Neodiprion lecontei: one gene and its partner. The protein of the gene in region 1 purifies or fractionates together with the protein of each later gene. This does not show direct contact. Links are inferred from orthologs where the notes say so. Each region holds a gene or a part of one and is shown in the gene's direction. Other genes may lie near its edges.

The links.
Region 2: the proteins of guanine nucleotide-binding protein subunit beta-like protein (region 1) and vigilin purify together in Homo sapiens (affinity purification with mass spectrometry; 3 studies listed by BioGRID and IntAct, with this or other methods). This does not show direct contact. The link is inferred for Neodiprion lecontei from reciprocal best matches to the Homo sapiens genes RACK1 and HDLBP.

Annotation. Positions count from the first base shown.
Region 1 is NC_060262.1:7,954,097-7,963,913, reverse strand, and holds guanine nucleotide-binding protein subunit beta-like protein, read left to right. Parts: upstream 1-4,302; 5' UTR 4,303-4,399; coding exon 4,400-4,508; intron 4,509-4,922; coding exon 4,923-5,131; intron 5,132-5,573; coding exon 5,574-5,780; intron 5,781-6,306; coding exon 6,307-6,417; intron 6,418-6,639; coding exon 6,640-6,957; 3' UTR 6,958-7,003; downstream 7,004-9,817. Other genes in the region: serine/threonine-protein phosphatase 2A catalytic subunit beta isoform, read right to left, coding at 1,870-1,977; NFU1 iron-sulfur cluster scaffold homolog, mitochondrial, read right to left, coding at 8,139-8,363, 8,460-8,563, 8,659-9,077, 9,342-9,412. UniProt on the Homo sapiens protein: Scaffolding protein involved in the recruitment, assembly and/or regulation of a variety of signaling molecules. Interacts with a wide variety of proteins and plays a role in many cellular processes.
Region 2 is NC_060261.1:2,440,731-2,450,313, forward strand, and holds the start of vigilin, read left to right. Parts: upstream 1-5,145; 5' UTR 5,146-5,182; intron 5,183-5,324; 5' UTR 5,325-5,393; intron 5,394-6,713; 5' UTR 6,714-6,754; coding exon 6,755-6,925; intron 6,926-7,040; coding exon 7,041-7,256; intron 7,257-7,570; coding exon 7,571-7,777; intron 7,778-7,872; coding exon 7,873-8,088; intron 8,089-8,176; coding exon 8,177-8,360; intron 8,361-8,464; coding exon 8,465-8,779; intron 8,780-8,860; coding exon 8,861-8,970; intron 8,971-9,028; coding exon 9,029-9,185; intron 9,186-9,268; coding exon 9,269-9,444; intron 9,445-9,567; coding exon 9,568-9,583. Other genes in the region: synaptonemal complex protein 1-like, read left to right, coding at 1-100, 245-346, 425-544, 643-699; glycerol kinase, read right to left, coding at 1,326-1,414, 1,505-1,636, 1,732-1,937, 2,091-2,344, 2,441-2,551, 3,068-3,274, 3,390-3,613, 3,722-3,980 and 1 more. UniProt on the Homo sapiens protein: Appears to play a role in cell sterol metabolism. It may function to protect cells from over-accumulation of cholesterol.

The DNA of each region.
Region 1 (9,817 bases):
CAACTTGTTTACTTATTTCGTGTTTGCAGGAAAAGATTCTTCATTTCACAAGATCAATTTTTAATGTACAAAGAATGATAAGGTGAAAGTTTGTAACGTTCAGGTCATGATCCATTTTCCTGGAAAAATCATCATGTCACAGCTTTAGATTTGTCTGAAATATAGTGAATTAAATAAATATTTTTAATAAAAAAAGTAGAGATATTTTTGAAACTTCTAGCAAGAACATTGAAATTTTATAAAACTTGTCGGAGCTAGCTGAAAAGTTCGCTGGCATGATAAAAAAATGTGAACAAATCTGAATTGACCTTCATTGGCATTAAATTCTTTTTAAATTTTAGGGTCATGATGTAATATTTTTCAGCATTAACTCTGTTGAATGCTGTTTGTTCTACGAACCTTAATACTATAAAATAGTTCTAATAAACCTTGAACTTGATTCGAAAAACATGTTACTTAATTATGAAACAAGGTATTCAATAAGATTTGTTTCTGAAAGTTCAAAGATTTTCCTGAAATTTATAAGGACTCTAGAATGAGGATTATTAATTACATAAGACCATTTTCAACAGGTAACGATTACAAATGATTTCTATCATTCTTGTCTAATAAGAATTCTTTGATTATTTAGACTTTCGAACTAATAATCTACTGTCCCTGAGTGTTTACGAGTACAAAATTAACTAATGACTATTAGGGTTGAAAAATATCGGAATTTTTCCGCAGTTAGACAATAAGAAACAGTGGAATATCTGAATGTTGTAACACAGTAAGTATCCCATGAATTTGGAAAAGGAATAATACAAATAATTCTTATTTTATTTGCTATAAAGTCTTTCGTCCTCAAGTACGTAATAATATTATTCAAAACGGCCCAATCGGTATTTAAATGATCACAGTGGAGCGTACTATGGATTTGACCTAAAATAATCGTATCCAAGGTATCAAATATCTTCTGAGCACAGCGTGGGTATTAAAACGTCAAAGTATTCGCATTTATTTTGACTGTTGTCAGCTGTGAGCAGAAGGGTTTCACAGATACCGACCTTTGAAAGATTGTGTAGAATAAAATATTAGTAACAGGCGTTGATGAAATTGTATTGCAGGAATGTTCTTCGTAGATCTGCTATTCCAGAGAAAATATTGCCCGACGTACGAAATACCGAATATGTAATCCTCTACTGCTAATCTACTAATGCTAAAAATAAGTTAAACTATTGGAAGCGTGAAACGAAGTTGAATTCATTACTATTTGTTTAAAATTTATCGCGACATCGCAGAATGACGTAGTTCGATGTGTTATTCGACAAACAAATGATAAAAAGTGTAATAAAAAATCGTCAGTACATAAAATATACATAGAGAAATAATAAAATCGTTTAAAACAAAATTACTCGTTATTACAGTGTGCGGAATATAACATGTGGTTTACAGGGAAAATGAGCAGCGAGTAAGAGGAAAAAATTCGCGGTGTGGAAGTTAATCCGATTCCGTGTAAAACAAACGGCGGCGTGGTTAATCGTTGGATAATTTTATCCGCCGTGTATTCGAGCTCGGCGAACGGGGGACGTTGGTCGTTAGCCGTAATTCAAGGTGAGTGACTATCAATTTTCGATGACATATCGGCCAATCGTATACGCCTAAGAAGACGTGGGACGATCGGTGATAGAAAGGATTTGGTGTGAAATGTTTGGAGAAGCGAGGGTTGTGTACCGAATAAAATGCTGGATAAGGTTTTTTAGCCGGGAGGCGATGTCGAGGCGCGATAGGCGTGGATAGAGATGCAGATTGTCGGCAGGGAGGAAAGAAGTTAGGAAAGTCAACGGGGAAATGAAGGAACTTGGGGTGAAAAATCTCCGGCCAGCTCACCTTTTCGCACAAAGTTTTAACTTGACTTTCTGTCAGTTGTTTGCACTCGTTCAACTGTTCGATCCATTGGTCAAGCTCTTTCAGAGACGTCACTGCCTTCTCCTCCATCGTTTGGATCTAAGCAATGTTCAATACCCGGTTGACACTTAGCACATGTAACGCAACGGGAAACTATCTTATCAATAAACTAAATCCATTCGATTTCGCTCCGGTATTATTTCAACACAAATATCTCAATCAACCACACACTCACAAAATGGCCGACAAATAGTGATGATCGGGTGACGTCACGTTTAAATTCTTCCGCTCGGCATCGCTCGCCGAGATTCGGTTTGGATCGACTAGGCTGTCTCGCTCTGGCCAATCGTAAAGCATTTTTATTTCGGCCCGCCAATCGGATTCAAAGTATACTCTTGTGGCGAAACTTTGCAGTAAGTGTCACGATCATTTCTTTTGCCCTTAATTATTGTAATTAAATCGAGGGAAGTACCGATATCCGTCAACTTATGATCAGAGTCTATGAAAATTAATGAAACTACTTTTCATTTTGGTCTGTCAGCTATTGGCGGAGCTTCAACTCTGCAACGGTTCGATGGGGTGTGTCGTTTAGATACTATTATGACTACCTGTCGCGGGAGAATTTGAAATCAATTTTGACACGATATGGAATTGGACTACGAAACTGCTTCCGCGAAAATATTTAACACGTTCTGTAATGAATTACAACTGAATTTCCATCTGGTAACCTGTGTATATGATTGTATATCATTTCCTAGAACATTATTTATCTGGTTATACACTTACCTGTAAACATGTGATGCCGGCTCGCGTCTGCATATGCTGATCGCAGTTGGTGCTGCCTCAATTGGTATTTTTACGTTTTTCGTAATTGAATTTAAATTTTAAGACAATTATGTTCGATAAAACGCCATCGTCACAATTGCTTGCCCGTAGTCATAATATGGTTACTTGATGTTACGATGAACTGTACAAGTTTCAAATAATGCTACGCTTGATCTTGCCTGGGTAGCGCAGTAGAAAATTTAAAAAAGTTTGATCATACTTACAGCTAAAAGATTCAGAAATTTGCATTATTTTTACATATGTATAAAACGGCTATATAAATGTTTTGACCATATAAATGTAATGTCTCATTTATTTAACATGAACAACTCTAAGAATTAAAAATTATACAGTCATATTCAATTGCAGAATTGGATATGTAGGATCGAGGATCTATGGAATGCCTACATTGCGGTTTATTTTTTTCATTATTTTTTCTTATAACTCTTCATCAGTTGATTCCGTTCATTCAGAAATCATTGGCAATCTTTGACTACTTCACGAGCAGTTAAAAAAAATCCGAATTGATGGCGGTTGTAATCAAAGTTGGATAGATAGTTCAACATAACATACGTTATTATAGAGAATAAAAATATCAGTTCCGAAGTTTCTACAAGCGATTATCCAATAAATTAAAAAATATTGAAACGTATTAAAACAGATTCATATTGATGTCTGCCAATTTGAAATTTAAAAAAAAACGTATTGCGTAATGAGGAAATCAATCTGAATCGACCTGTGCAAATGTTTGGAATCTTTCTTCATGGATTGACGAGGTTTGAAAAAAGAAAGCAACCAATAGAAAATTATAAAAGCACTAATCTTCGTAATCATCTTCATTTGAGGTAAATTTCAATTTGCATGTAAAATGGAATAGAAATGGATTGGCCTACCGAATTTGTATATCACATGACGAGTAAAATTAAAATTCCGTTACAATCCAATCTGAAAGAAATGGCAAGAAACCAAATTGATTGATGAATTTTCAAAATAATAGTAATCGGTTTTCTTGTAAAATTCTGATTGGTTAACGTCAAAACGAACCTGTACGTTTTATTGTTTTCTCGTGTGCTAGGTGGTTTTCTTTTTTCTGCAGTAATTATTTCGAATTAGTGGCAAGGCGATTAGTTACAGATATCGTAAAAAATTCTGAAAACCACAAATATCATGTCCGCCAGGTATTATAGAAGCAATACGTGGGTATATCAACCAGTTTACAGAGGCTGTAAATACCTATTCGATAAATAACCATAGAACTGTTATTCGAACGACCAAGTTGTAAATCTCATCATGCAGTAGTGAATATTTTCAAGAATTTTCGGCTGTAGATATATTGATTACCGCAACACGGGGGAACATAAAAATTGACATCCCATGTGGAAGATTTCAGTGTAAACTCGTGAATAAACTAATTTTATTTTGGTACAGAAAGAGTTGAGATATTTGATCATCTTGTATGTAAATATAGCTAGACAATGGAAACACGTAATAGCTAGACAATGAGTTTCGTGAAAGGGCGGCTTAATTTCCCCCTCCACAGACTCCCTTCCCGCTAACTTGTGGATGCCGCGTGGCTTTGCTGCTCGTATATCCTGTTTGCCTTTTCTGTTCAACGCCGCGTTGGAGGCGGTCAGTGATATCGAATCCAAGTGATCCGTTCATCAAGGAACGTTGAAAGTACGGTAAAATGTCGGAAACTTTACAACTCAGAGGGACCCTTCGAGGCCACAATGGATGGGTTACCCAAATCGCAACCAACCCGAAATATCCTGATATGATTCTGTCGTCTTCACGCGGTAAGTCTTGACTGCCATACTGTATAATGCCGACAATATTCTAACATCTGAGATCGTCACGCTGCAAAAACAACGTGTTAATCCTGCGACATTCCCACCTCTCTTCTATTATTATCTTTGCTTACAAATTAATTTTGCAGTTTATTTAATGCAACACAAATAAATACCTGCTACTTAAGATTATTGGCTTCTGAAAAGTGTCTTCGTATGTCTTTATTTGTTGGAGTTCCACCTTTTGATGTTGTTCAGTCCGTATTTGTATGATTAAATTGCTACTTTTCATGCCTGGTGTATGTCTAGATGATTATCATGTGTGGACATCCAAATATAACTTGTCCTTAGAAAGTTTGCCACTTTAACATAGGTCCAGTGGAAGTATATTTCAAATAAAATTGTATGACATTAATTTCACAGACAAAACTTTGATCGTATGGAAGTTAACACGTGATGATGCCAATTATGGTATACCACAAAAGCGTCTTTATGGTCACTCGCATTTTATCAGTGATGTCGTGCTTTCATCTGATGGTAACTACGCTTTGTCTGGATCATGGGACAAGACTCTGCGTCTTTGGGATTTGGCTGCGGGTCGCACAACCAGGAGGTTTGAAGACCATACCAAGGTGTGACTAAACCCAAATCCATCTCGAGAGGGGAACAAATATTGTGAAAAATGTACAAACCACTGAAGCTTTTTTTTTCATATTTTTTTTTTATTTCTTATGCTATGGCCGAAGAATCTTCGAGAAACAGGAATATACTGAAGCTTTTTTGTATATATTTTTTTTCATTCTTTGGTATTTAGAAGAGGTGGGATGATGTAGCTATATCTCTGCGCTGTGAGTACTAGTTGTAATTTTGAAATTGTCGATTCTGATGCGACTTGGAAAAAAGCGGATTTTAGAAAGGTTTTTTTTTTTTTTTCTTTATTATTTTCCATCACATCTATTATGTAGAATTTTGTGTACTGCAAACTGTATGTATATTGATTCTAAACGAAATTTTCAATTGGTTCTGTCATATTTCATTTGGAACTAAATATTGGAATCTTACTTCATTCAACAGGATGTCCTCAGCGTCGCATTCTCTGTAGACAATCGGCAAATTGTTTCTGGATCTCGAGACAAGACTATCAAGTTGTGGAACACACTTGCCGAATGTAAATACACCATTCAAGATGATGGTCACAGTGATTGGGTCAGCTGCGTTCGATTCTCTCCTAACCACTCCAATCCCATCATTGTTTCTGCTGGATGGGATCGCGTTGTTAAGGTAACTATGAATTCCAACTACGACTTTTCTGTTTGCAATTTTTAATTTGATAATATGAAATTCAATTGCTTCATTCAAAGTACAGCAAAGGCTCTAACTATTATTTTCTTTCCAGTCATGTCTTGTGAACTTTGCAATTTAAGTACATTATGTCGTATATTATTTTTGCATGTAATTGAGACTTTTCAATGCATCCACAGACCAAAATATTGATCAGAGTAATGTAAAATTATTGACGATAATGAGGCATTTTTTTAAAAATTCATAGACATGGTTTGCAAATAATTTGAACAATTTTTAGTGATTTTCATTGTTGGAAAAGTTTGATAATATTTTGGTCAAAGCATTTTTATCTTGTACTTACAAATTATTGAAAATTTAAGATATTCTAAATGATGTAAATCTTTGGAAAACATGAACTCTGTGAGTGTTAGCGGATATGGGACTGATTAATTGTTCCAAAGTAAAACATTTCAAATTTTTATGCAATTTTCCCTTACAATATTTCCCTTGTTATCATACACAGGTCTGGAACTTGACGAACTGTCGTTTAAAGATCAACCATAATGGGCACACTGGGTACCTTAACACAGTAACTGTCTCTCCAGACGGTTCCCTCTGTGCTTCCGGTGGCAAGGTAAAAATTTATAATATTTACTTATATTTGGTTATTCATTCTACACTACATCTTTTCTTTTTTAATCCATTTTTACCAATAAAATATGATGCAAACAACTAATTCATGATATCCATGAGTGTTTACGGATATGGGACTGACTAAATATAAACCAATCTCTTACTGACTTTCACTATTTCCGGGATTATCACTAATACTCTTATTTGCTTACCTTTCTCATAGGATTGCAAAGCAATGCTGTGGGATTTGAATGATGGAAAGCACTTGCATACGCTGGATCACAACGACATCATCACCGCCTTATGCTTCAGCCCGAACCGTTATTGGCTCTGTGCCGCATTCGGGCCATCGATCAAGATCTGGGATCTTGAAAGCAAGGAAATGGTCGAGGAACTGAAACCCGAAGTTGTGTCTGCCACCAGCAAGGCTGAGCCCGCTCAGTGTCTTTCTTTGGCTTGGTCCACGGACGGACAAACGCTGTTTGCCGGTTACTCGGACAACACCATTCGCGTTTGGCAGGTGTCTGTGTCCAGTCGATAAATGCTTTGTACTATACTATACTGAATAAAGGAGCTGAGAAATTTTATCAAATTTTATTTATTTGATTAATTCCAAGCCTAGTCGCCAATGCCCATTACAGGATGGCCACACACTTGGAAAACCTGGAATTGCCAGTGAAATTTTATTTCCCTAATTAAAAAGTTTGAAAATATTAATATTCTTAAATTTGAATTAGAAATGATTTTGTGAAGTGACAAATTTACTTCTTTCGTAAAGAAAAAGTTGGTTCAAACTGATCTGTTTTATATTATGGTAGTTAGTGGTCCTATACATTGTCGTTTTCATCGATATCATTGCGTTTATACTTCTAACTGAACTATCATTATAACCCTCCTCCTTGTCTTTACTTGAAGGTAAGAAATTTTTTTTTCAATTCGAATTGAATTTGAACAAAATGTAGAGGTAATAAGCTGGACGATTTAAGACTTGTGAAATTTTGACTGAAATTTTTTCATTCAATTTATTTCCTAAAAATTTGTCGTCCTGTGTCATCTTTAGTCAGGACAAAACACTCCGATAGTTTGGCAAGTATTTACCAGATTTTTATGTGTTAAGATTAGATAAGACAAATATCGTCAGGCATAGAGATAAATTAAACGAAATAACTCGTTTCAGTCTTTTAATGAATTTCAACAAATATTAAACTACATAAATTCATACCTCGGTCTAATCTACTATTGTCTGCTGTTTACAGAGCATTGAAGAAATAAAACAACAATTGAACTGGTCACTACAGTTTTTTATGCGAGTAAGTAGAGGTTTTATGAAAAAGTTTCCTGCTTGCATGAAGTAAGGTATTTAAACGTAATCTGGTGATATTCCCTGATTTCCATAAAAATGATAATTGCTAATATTAAATTACAAATATACTTTAGCATTGATAACATCACACAGTAACTCCTTCAACCTGTTGTATCTGCTTAAACTTTGTTTTAAATGAAGAACAAAAAAATATACCAGCATTATTTTTCCCTCAACTACTGAAATATGAAATAAAAACATTTAACGAAACTTCCCCATTATCACAACATATTTCAACGAATAAAAACTGTTCTATTTACAAATAGCTGTTACATTTAGATATGAATATCAGTATTAAGTATATTACAAGATGCTATTCATTCTAAAAATCAATAGAAGTAATTTCAAGATCTTTTGCTCTAGTGTTCGTTACTGGTCTTGCTTGTCTGAATCTTTGTCTCTAATTTCTCAAATTCTTCCTTCGCTGCTCGATCTGATTCATCTTCGACTTGTTCGACACCCTGAACTTCAGGAATATAAAATTGCATCATATTTTGCACACCGTTTTTCAATGTCACTACGGAACTGGGGCAGCTGGTACAAGAACCTTGCATTTTTAGCTTTACTATCCCATCTACGAAACCCTGTGGCAATAAAAAGTATTTTGTAACTTCAAATTGAAAACAGTTGATGGTTGAAGTAGAAAGAAATGTTTTATATCCAATACTTGATTTACGTACCATGTACACAATGTCTCCTCCATCTTCTTGGACTGTGGGCCTGATTCTTGTGTCAAGAAGTTCTTTTATCATTTGAACAGTTTCATCGTCATCATCCTGAATCTCTAATTCAGAAACGTCAATGAATTACAATTAGGAATAGAAAACAATTGAGAGTAATTGTTATAAAAGATCACATGAAATTGTCCAATTCATTTACTTGTATCTAGCGATGGCTGTGCTTCAGTAAGAACAGGCAATCCGCTAGCAAAAAAATCCATTATAGTAGCAAATACTTCTGGCTTTATGAGCTTCCAATCGACGTCTTCGTCAACTTTAGTTACAGTGATGAAATCAGACCCAAAAAATATCGACTTCACTCCTTCAATTCTGAAAAGCATCTTTGCCAATGGCGAACAATATGCATCTGATCCTGTAGGAAAATCCATTGTTTGTCCTGGTTCGAGGACGGCAACTCCAGGTAGAAACTTCAAACTATTGGGATTTGGCGTGTCTTGAGTTTGTATAAACATATTGCGTTTATGCAATTCGTTGAATCTAGTGGTTGACTGCCAAAGAAAAGGCCTTTGCATGTAAGATTTGCTACAGTTGTGAAGACGCTTAGCATTGTTGATAGTCCTGCCATAAAAGGAGATATTTTTGAAGGGCGTTCCATACACGTATTAGAAAATTTGACTCCATGTACTAGTGGATACGACAGTTTACAAAAAAAATTACACAAAATATTGCGAATTATAAGGAAAGAGAGAAAGGAACATCTAAAGTTGCTCAACGTTTCGTAGAGTAACAAATTGTACAGGAATATCTCACGGTTACCGTACGTTAGATTAGGTTATAAACACACGTTAATTTCATCAGTAAATAACAATTTGTAATTCATACCGTAAACTTTGTCGTGCAAAAATTGACCCACAGTTTATCGAACGACTGAGAACTGTTGTTTTTGCGAACATTTTATTCCTCAGAGTTATTCTTTACTTTTGCGTATTGCAATGTCGTACTGTCAAAATCATCTGTAATTTTTTAAGACCACCGTAACAATGCGATATGATACGTTAGTTCCGTTGGATCAAATGATTGTTCGGATCTTTGCGGTCCAAATTCATGGAGATTTAAAAAGTGTTTCCCAAATATACGGCAAAAAAATTATTCCTTCGGCGAAAAGCTTTGACGTGAAACAAGGTCCGACAATTTTAGATTCTCATTAGAGAGGACAACATTGTCTTTGATCATCTTCGTCAGAAGGATTCAAACAAAGCAAAATGTCCGCTGTTACAGTCAACGGTGGGTATTTGAAATTAAAGGAGCATCTGATTAAAAACGATGGAATAACGATTTTGTTTGTCCCATTTGGTGGA
Region 2 (9,583 bases), on another chromosome or scaffold:
ATTGCAAAAAATTGAAGAGTCGAAGCAAATGACGAACACGGGGACGTCGCTGTCCATTGTCTCAAGTCCACTCCTCGGAATGAGTTTCGCTAGACCCGAGGTACCATATTTGAGTATAACCGATCATCGTATTTTTGGACGTTGGATATTGAACACTCCGAATGATGTGAATAATTTAAAATATCTCGCAACGACCTGCATAACGTTTAAACTAGATAGGATATTGCATTACTGTCATTTACAGGGAAGTATAATTTCATCGACACCCGTTCATAGTCCGACTGGGACTGAAATGGCACAGTTAGAAATATCTTCCGACTTAAGTAGTATTGACGGAATGCAAGCAGTAAGTACATTCCATACCTTGATTAAATTCTTGTATTGCGCACGAAAAACAACCAATGGTTTTATCTTTTTTATTCAGATTACAGAAATAGAACGCGAGTACGAAAAGTTGAGTCAGTCTAATAAAACTGACGCTGTAAAATTAAGTCAAACAGATAGGACAGAAAATACCGGCTCAACATCATCTGCAATTGCTGTGGTAAGACGATATGCTATCCACATGAACTCCACTGACGTTATGATTTAAACGGATTTTCACGCGGTTTTTTTTTCTTTGTGTTGTTCTTTCATATCCAGGTACCACCGCAACAGAGAAGCAGAAAATCTTACAAGCCATACTACAAACGAAAGTAAACATAGACGTGAAAGCGTTACATTTTTTTGCACACGTAATAATAATAATTATCATTTCACAAGGATTCATGGATGCCATGAATTAATCAAGAAACAACGTACAGAAAATACCTTAATTATTGATAAAAAGTCGTGTGTTTAAAAAAATTTTCACCTTTATTTTAACTACCAACAAATAATATATAATAATATGATCAAAATATTGAGCGTAGTTGGTCTCTGATTCCGAAGCAGAATGCTACGTACACAATTTTTCACATTCTTTCAATAGAAACCACTCTATAAGTATATCTTCATATGGGTTTGGTGTATAAATATTCTTATCCATCACCAATTTACGTACATATTAACATATTAAACAGTCTACAACAATAGTGTAAATGTAGATAAATAAAGAACTTTGTTCTATTTGACGGGTCTTATAGAAACAGACGTATTTCGGCGGGCCGGATAGAATCGACGTATTTCAAAAAATGCTACAAGTTGTGTATAGCGCTCTGTATACACTAGATGTAGCGTTTTTTGTCAAAATATATCTGTTTTCATAGAACCTATCGAATTTAGGTATATACTATATATAATATATCACTGTATTATGAAAACTAGGTATTCACACTTGCACATTATTATCGTCCGTCGATTGGTGCTGAGGAAGAATCCCATTTCATAGACCGATCAATGGCCATTTTCCATTTAGAATATCGAAGATCCCTTTCTAAAATTTAACATTCGTTCATGATACTGACTAAAACGTTTTTCTGAAAATATAAATCAACTCCCACCATCAAGATTATCTCATACACACCATCGTCGCTAATTTGTGGTGAAAACTTCGTAATTTGATCAGCAACAACGTCATTGATATCCAATAGTCCTATACCAACACCAGCTAGTATGGCTGCGCCTAACGCGGTAGTTTCAACCATGTTTGGCCTCACTGTTAAAAAGAATTGCATATTTTGTTTTATTTACTTTTTGTTAAACAAACAACAAAAAAAATTCCTTTGCAATTCGAAACCGACTACAACTGACCCACGCTAACTCCGGTCAAATCGGCTTGCAATTGCATTAGCAAATTATTAGCCGTCATTCCACCATCTACTTGCAATTCAGTCAAACTGGTCCCGGCGTCTTCCAACATTGCCTCCAATATATCTCTGGTTTGAAAGCACACCGCTTCGAGTGCAGCTCTGATTATGTGATACTGCTGAGTATCTTCAGTAATTCCACATATAACTCTGTGCACAGAAAATTGTCAAAATTTTTAGTCGGATCAAAGAAACACAAACTAATTTTATATCTGTTGTGAAATTTAGCTAGACGATATAGCGAATGAAAAAACTTGTACATTTGCTTCTATGAGGTAAAAATTGTAATGTCACTTAAATTACCCTCTGGCATCCTGCTGCCAATAAGGTGCGTATAACCCGGAGAAAGCTGGTACAAAGTAGACGTCACCAGAGCAACGTACTCTTTCCGCCAAATCCTGACTCTCTGTGACGTTGGCCATAAGCTGTATGTTATCTCGCAACCAGGAGAGTGCAGCACCAGCTACCGCGACTGATCCTTCCAAGGCATAGACGGCAGGTGAGCGCCCCAATTTATAAGCAACAGTTGTGATTAGACCTTGACTCGAGTCAACTTTCTGAAAGCGTTGTCAAATGTTACACAGATTTAGTTTTAGAAGAAATCTTTGCATTTTAGAACGAATTTGGATTTCATATTTCCTTGGGATACATACCACATTCCCGGTATTATAGAGTAAGAAACAACCTGTGCCGTAGGTTGCTTTTGCCTGCCCTCGTTTCAGACACAACTGACCTATCAGAGCTCCCTGCTGATCACCTACACACTGTGTAACAGCATTAACGTTACAAACAGCAGTACATACAAAAAATTGAAGTGTTGACAGTTTTTCTCACGTTTTCTCAGTTCAAAGTATCGTCTCATGATTAAAGTTTTAGTACAGTAGAACCTCGATTACGTGAATTAACTAACCTAGTTCGTATAACCGAAATGCAATTTTTATGTTAAGGTATAATAATATATACAACACAATTTTAAATCCATAAACAGTCCGTTTAAAACATCTAAATACATATGAAACATCTTTCAAATACAGAATGCTTATTTTATTACTTTGGTTTTACATAGTCGTCTATTGTCAATTGACGAACAGCTCCTACACTTTTTTTAGCAAGCAACAATTAAAATTTCGTACCAAAAATGTATTTTTTGCGCCAGCTTTTGGATAATTGAGTGTTTGGATGACCGAGGTTCTACTGTACAACAGTTTGAGTATCAAAGTGAACAGACTGTTGGGATGACTCACTTCTACACAAAAGCAATCATTCATAGCTGAACTCACCCCTGAAATGGGTATTCCGCTCAAGACTTCTGGGTAAGAGATATGCCCATATATTTCGGAGCAGGATCGAATTTCCGGAAGGATATCCAGCGGGATGCCAAAGAAGCGACAGAGCAATGGATCCCACTTCAGGGTCTCAATGTTCATCAACATTGTCCGAGATGCGTTGGAAACATCCGTCATATGGAGTTTTCCTTGTGTAAGGTTCTGCAAATATATCGCAATTCTAAGTAAGGCAAAGTATTACTGATACATTCAATGTAAGAGTAGACTGAGAATTTTCTCCTCTCGTCTACTTCTTTCACAAATTTATTGAACAAACCCAAATCAGCCAAGTGTCGACAGTTCCGAAAGCACATCTCCCTGCCTCAACAGCTTGCTTAACTCTTGGAACATTGTCAATAAGCCATCGGATTTTGAGAGCACTGAAATAAGGAGATATGGGCAGCCCACAAAGAGGTTTGAGGTAATTCTTGTTCCTTGTATTATTCGGCACATTATCCAAGATATTCTCAATCGTGGTCGTGGTCCGCATGTCCAGCCAAACTGAAACGAAAAAACGTGCATTTAACAAGCTTTTCCAAATTTTAAATTTCTACTCACTCCAAGGTAATGGAAAAAGACTCAAAAGTGTGAGCGAGAGATTCTATCTACCGATGGCATTGTGCAAGGGCTCTCCGGTTTCCTTGTCCCATACTAAAGTGGTTTCACGCTGGTTAGTAATGCCGATAGCTTTGATATCCGCCTTGTCTATGTCGATCGCTTTCAACTTCTCTATTGTCTTAATGATGCACTCATGCACCGCTTTAAGTATCTCCTTGGCATCCTGTTCGACCCATCCTTCTTGTGGGTATATATTCTTTATCTCGATCTGATGTGAGGCGACAACTTCTCTCCGCCGAACACTGAACACCTGTAAATATAATCACTTTCTCAAATTGATTCATGCCTCGATAAACCGGGTGTGGCAATTGATCCAGTTCAAAGGTTTGACGCAACACCGGATGTACATTGAAACATGGCTTGCTTTATCTACTCATCAATACCCTTTTAAACCTTCAGTTCTTTGTGTCAAAACATACTAATTTACTTACTAAAAACCTGGCACTGCTCGTTCCTTCATCAATCGCCCCAACAAGAGGACCAAATCGTCCAGTGCTCTCTGGCATGTTTACATAAATTATAATGTGCGCATCAGTGAGTGCCAATCGTCCTACGATCGCCCTTCGTTCTATAGTAGCAGTTATGTAATTAGGATAATAAAACGGAGGCTACGAGATGAGTGATTTCATAACCCACAAATATGTTTCGTGGGCGATAAACAAATATCTAAGATCGATTGGGGTTCAACGGTTTCCCCGCATTATCTGTGGCTCTATGGTTTGTGGATCATAATACGAAGCTACGCATTCACGAGATGATACGCAGGATATGTGGATGTGTGCGTAGTTGCGGTAGTTGCTAATGAAATGAACGATGCGCTTTCAAACATGACGGAGACCTTGATGAGCTGCACACGTTGATAAAAGTCAAAAACACGTGGCAGTTGTCGGCCACGATTTTTGACGGTATTAATCATCTTTCGGAACACCATGAGGCGTCATTTGTTTAATCAGGGTGTTCGATCAAGGGCGTAAAAAAATAACACCAATCCAGAAGGTTGATTATTTTCTGTATTTATTTTCTCAATAGGCGTTTATGTCATATATTTATGTCACGTATGCAATCGTAACAGGAAACACGAGTTTGTCAACAAACTACGAGATTCGAGTCACGTCGCACGTTTGAAGCGCGCCAATTTTGAATCGGTGCTCATCGATGCAGGAAAAAAACCGAATTTTCAAAGCGAATGAGTAATCAAGATTGATTTCTTATCGTCTGATCGATACTCAGATCGGCCAGATCCACCAGACAGTCAGTGCATCGTTAATTTTACCATAATCTCGATGAATTTGTGACCGGATTTGAAATACCGCAAAAACCACAAATTTCCTAAACGAGCCCGCGTTGCCAACGTTTAGAAAATTTTCCGGAGAGCTGAAGAGTGGTAACATCTTCGATCAGGGGGGCGAGCGAGCACCGCGAGCACCCGTCTCATTTCACTTTGCGTTACCGGTAAGGAGTGTTGCTCATTACTTCATCTTCGCAAAATCATCTCTTATACCGATCTTAGGCCGTATTAGAATATCACAATAATAACGTTACAACCAACATCGCACAGTGATTTATATATATTCTTGTTTTTCAAACGTTACAGGAGGATTGATAGTAAACTGGCGGCGTAATAAAGATTTATTACCTGGTGGGATAACTTTATTACGGTAGAGTAAGTATCTTCTTTCTACCTATATTCATTTTTTTTCTCCCTCTCTCTGTCTCTCTCTCTCTCTCTCTATTTCACTCTCACACCATTCGCGCAAGTGATTATCATAATTTTTGAGCACTGTTGAAAACCCTATTAATTTTTCGATAATCATTTTTCAAATCTTAACCACGTCTCGGGTGTTAACAGGTTCGCGGAATAATAATGTGTAACTCGTTCGTACTTGGTCGTGGCTGAAAGATAATTCGGCATTAAAATTGATACTGAATTCAATGTAAAACCTTTTTTTCACACTCCCCCTCCTTTCCTCTCTCGTTTCTCACTCTCTCCCATATTCTCGATATGATTGAGATAAATTTTCGAAGAGGTTAGCAATCTCGTGACGTGTCAAGCAGGCACTCCATTCCATATGGTGGTCACTGGCTCCACTACTGGTCATTGACATGCTGGCATTCAATGGAATTTCACATTTAAATCACTTCAAAATACGGTATTCAATCAACCTCTACCGCGACATATTGTACGACAGAGGTTACTCACCAGCACGGATAATGTTACAATGACTTAATTAATTATCGGCGATCCAATTTCTCCTTCCGGTTGAAGATTTTTCGAAGTGAAAAAAAAACTTTTTCACGATAATTTACGGTGGGGTGTGTCACAAGATGATTTTTATTTTACATCCTTAATATCCTTACCACTTATTTATTTACCAGCGAAATATTTCGCGAAGTTGAAAGATTTTTTCCTCAAACTTGTCACGTTATTTTCCAAAATCTAATCTTTTCGAGACTTCCTGAATCTTTTTTTTTTCTCAGCTACAACCTTATCACGTTCTGAATTGTAGATAACGGGTTAACCTAAAAAAAAGTAAAAAAGAGAATACGAGAGAGTAATCCAACGCGACTTCTATATGCTTATGAATGTATGCGTGAATATTTGTGCTAGCTTATCACAATATTTCAGTATTTCCTCTCTGTTAGCAAGATTCTTATCGCCTCCCATACAAATGAGAGTTCTTCTAGACTCCCGGAGGAGCGAGGATAGAAAAGTTGGTTTAATGAGAATCTAAAACCTTTATTCCGAAGAGTAACCTACCTATTGCGCAAATGTTTGGCATCCGTCTCAAATCTACCACTTTATCTAACGTGCCAACTAATTATCAAAGAAAATGTCATCTTAGGATTATAGGTTTTACGTTTTTCCACCTCTGATGAGGTAAAAAAAATTGTACGACATGCAGCCAAGATTCAGTCTACTGTTTCCTACATCGCTAAATATTTACATGAAATATTTTTAATTCCTCTTGTTTTGTCGGCACAGTGCTACTGTAAGGACTTGGCACGAATTAGGACATCCCAAAAATGCAGCAGCAATCAGTAATGGAAGAGGGTACGGCCTTTGAGCCACCCACATACAGCTACGATGAGACCTTCCCGGTTCTCCCCGGATCAGCCAGCCCGATATCCAGCAGCCCCAATCCTCTTTCAACGAAAAACAACAGTATGCGTGTTGGTTGTTCGGTCGTTACACAGGTACTGATCATTATTGTTGCTACTTCTTAAATCTTAGTCTCAGATTGTTAATTTGCCATCTTGCGAAGTTTATTAGTTATCAGTGAATTTTTTTTTTATGAACATTAATTTTCAGGTTTTTCATGTTCCTGTTGAAGAGCGTAAGTTTGACCACAGTGACAAATTTGGTGAAGGTGAATCTGTGAGAACCTGCCTTGCAATAATGAAGGAAAGTGGTGCTCACATTGAGATATCTTCCTCCAAAGATCAGTCATTGACATTTTTAGTCACTGGCAAACAAAACGAAGTCTTGGAAGCTCGACGTCGTATTCTGACAACGTTCCAAACCCAGGTATACAAAAATTGCCTGACTGTAACACCTGGAAAATACAATACTTGAAATTCGATGTAGCCATTTTCTTCCCACCTGCCATGAAAATGTTCATGTCAGTCATTTGTTTGCTCTATTTTTAACAAAAACGTTGATGCTTAATAATGTTTATTTTATATATTTTTAAAGTACCATCATGCTGTATGGATATTTATTCAAGTTTTCAAAGCTGTCACTTTGTTATTTCTCACAACTGTATGCTTTGAACATGGATGTATTTGACATTATCGCTCAAGTTCAATCGGGCCTATTATTAACTTACTATGTAATTTCAGGCGAACAAACAACTCAACATTCCCAAAGAACATCATCGCTGGATCCTAGGAAAGCAAGGACAGAGATTGAAGGATTTGGAGAAGACAACAGCTACAAAGATTCAAATACCTTCGGTGCAGGATCAATCCGATACGATAACAATCACTGGCACTAAGGAAGGTATTGAAAAGGCTGAGCATGAAATCAAAGTGATTTCCGACGAGCAGGTACAAATTTGTTTGCATATCAAAAAAAGAACGTAGCCCACCAGTTTTGCTCGCGGATATTTGATAACAATATTTTTTCACTCTTGAAATTTCAGTCAAAAAAAGCATTTGAAATTGTTAGTGTGCCAACAATTTACCATCCTTTTATACATGGTCCCCGTAACGAAACTCTAAATGCAATGATCGCCGAAACCGGAGCGCGTATAAACATTCCTCCGCCGTCGGTACAAAAAGATGAAATAACAATAGCAGGTGAAAAGGAAGGCGTTCTAGCAGCTAAAGAAAAGATCGAAGCTATCCACAGAGACATGGTACGATTTTTGGTGTTACATAAAGTTTAATGTTTACATGTGAAATAATATTCCGGTCCTTGAAATGTATCCCTGATTGAATTTTTAGGCGCAAAGATGCACAACGGTGTCCGTTGAAGTGCCAAAATCTCAACACAAGCACGTCATCGGACCCCGTGGTAGTACCATTGCCGAAATACTGCAGCTTACTGGCGTAAGTGTAGAAATGCCTGCTGCAGATTCAGCAACAGGAACTATAACCCTTCGTGGACCACAGGAGAAGCTTGGTCTTGGTGAGAATCGATGCAAATAATTCATTTCTGAGAATCTATTGATTCACCCTTTGTTGTAACTTACAAATGAGCCTTATCTTATCCTATTTTTTTTTTTTTCTCAGCATTGGGCAAAGTTTATGAGAAGGCAAACAGTGTCCGTAGCACAACGGTCGAGGCTCCTGCTTGGATCCATAAATACATTATCGGCCGCAAAGGAGCAAACATCAAAAAAATAACCCAAGACTTGAGCAACGTTCATGTTGAATTTACCAACACAGAAGATAAGATCAAGATTGAAGGACCCCCTGAAGATGTAGAAAAAGTTCAAACTGAACTGCAAAACATGGTCACTGATCTCATCGACAAGCTGACATTCACCGAACTTAACGTTGATCCCAAATTCTACAAGCATATTATCGGAAAGAATGGAACGAACGGTAAGCAAGCAGTCGTTATTTTTTACTAAACAATCTTCGTCAGTTTTCGCATGTTTAAAATATTTTCTAAACGTTTTCTAGTTAATCGTTTGAATGAGGAGACTGGAGTCGTGATCAATATATCTGAGAACGACGGGAAAAATCTTATTCGCATTGAGGGAAATTATGCTGGTGTAGAAAAAGCTAAGAAGGTAAGATCATTTTGCGATGTGTGAAATATATGTACCAATACGAAATGTTGATTATCAGGAACTCATGGAGATGGTTGAGAAATTGGAAAATGAAAAGGAAAAAGACGTTATAATTGACCATCGTTATTACCGCAGCATTATTGGAAGCAAGGGGGATAACATCAAAGAAATTAGAGACAAGTTCAATCAAGTGCAAATAACTATCCCTGGACCAGGTAAAATATCGTTCAATATCACGTAGAAAAATTTGTAATCGAAAGTATCCTTTGCCTTATGTACACTTTTTTCATTCTTATAGGCGAAAAACGTGATGTGGTAAAAATTCGAGGCCCCAAAGAGGACGTGGATAAGTGCCACAAACATTTGATGAAGTTGGTCAAAGAGCTTAACGAGAATAGCTTTGTCATGGAGGTTCCTATTTTTAAACAATTTCACAAGTTTGTTATAGGTAAAGGGGGCGCCAATATTCGCAAGGTTGGTTTGGAACTATCATGTTCTTGATAATTATTACCATCTGATATAATCAGGCGAACTTGGAAAAAATATATACCTATATACTTATTACATAAATTGTACATGTATGTATTTTCCAATTAGATTCGGGAAGAAACTC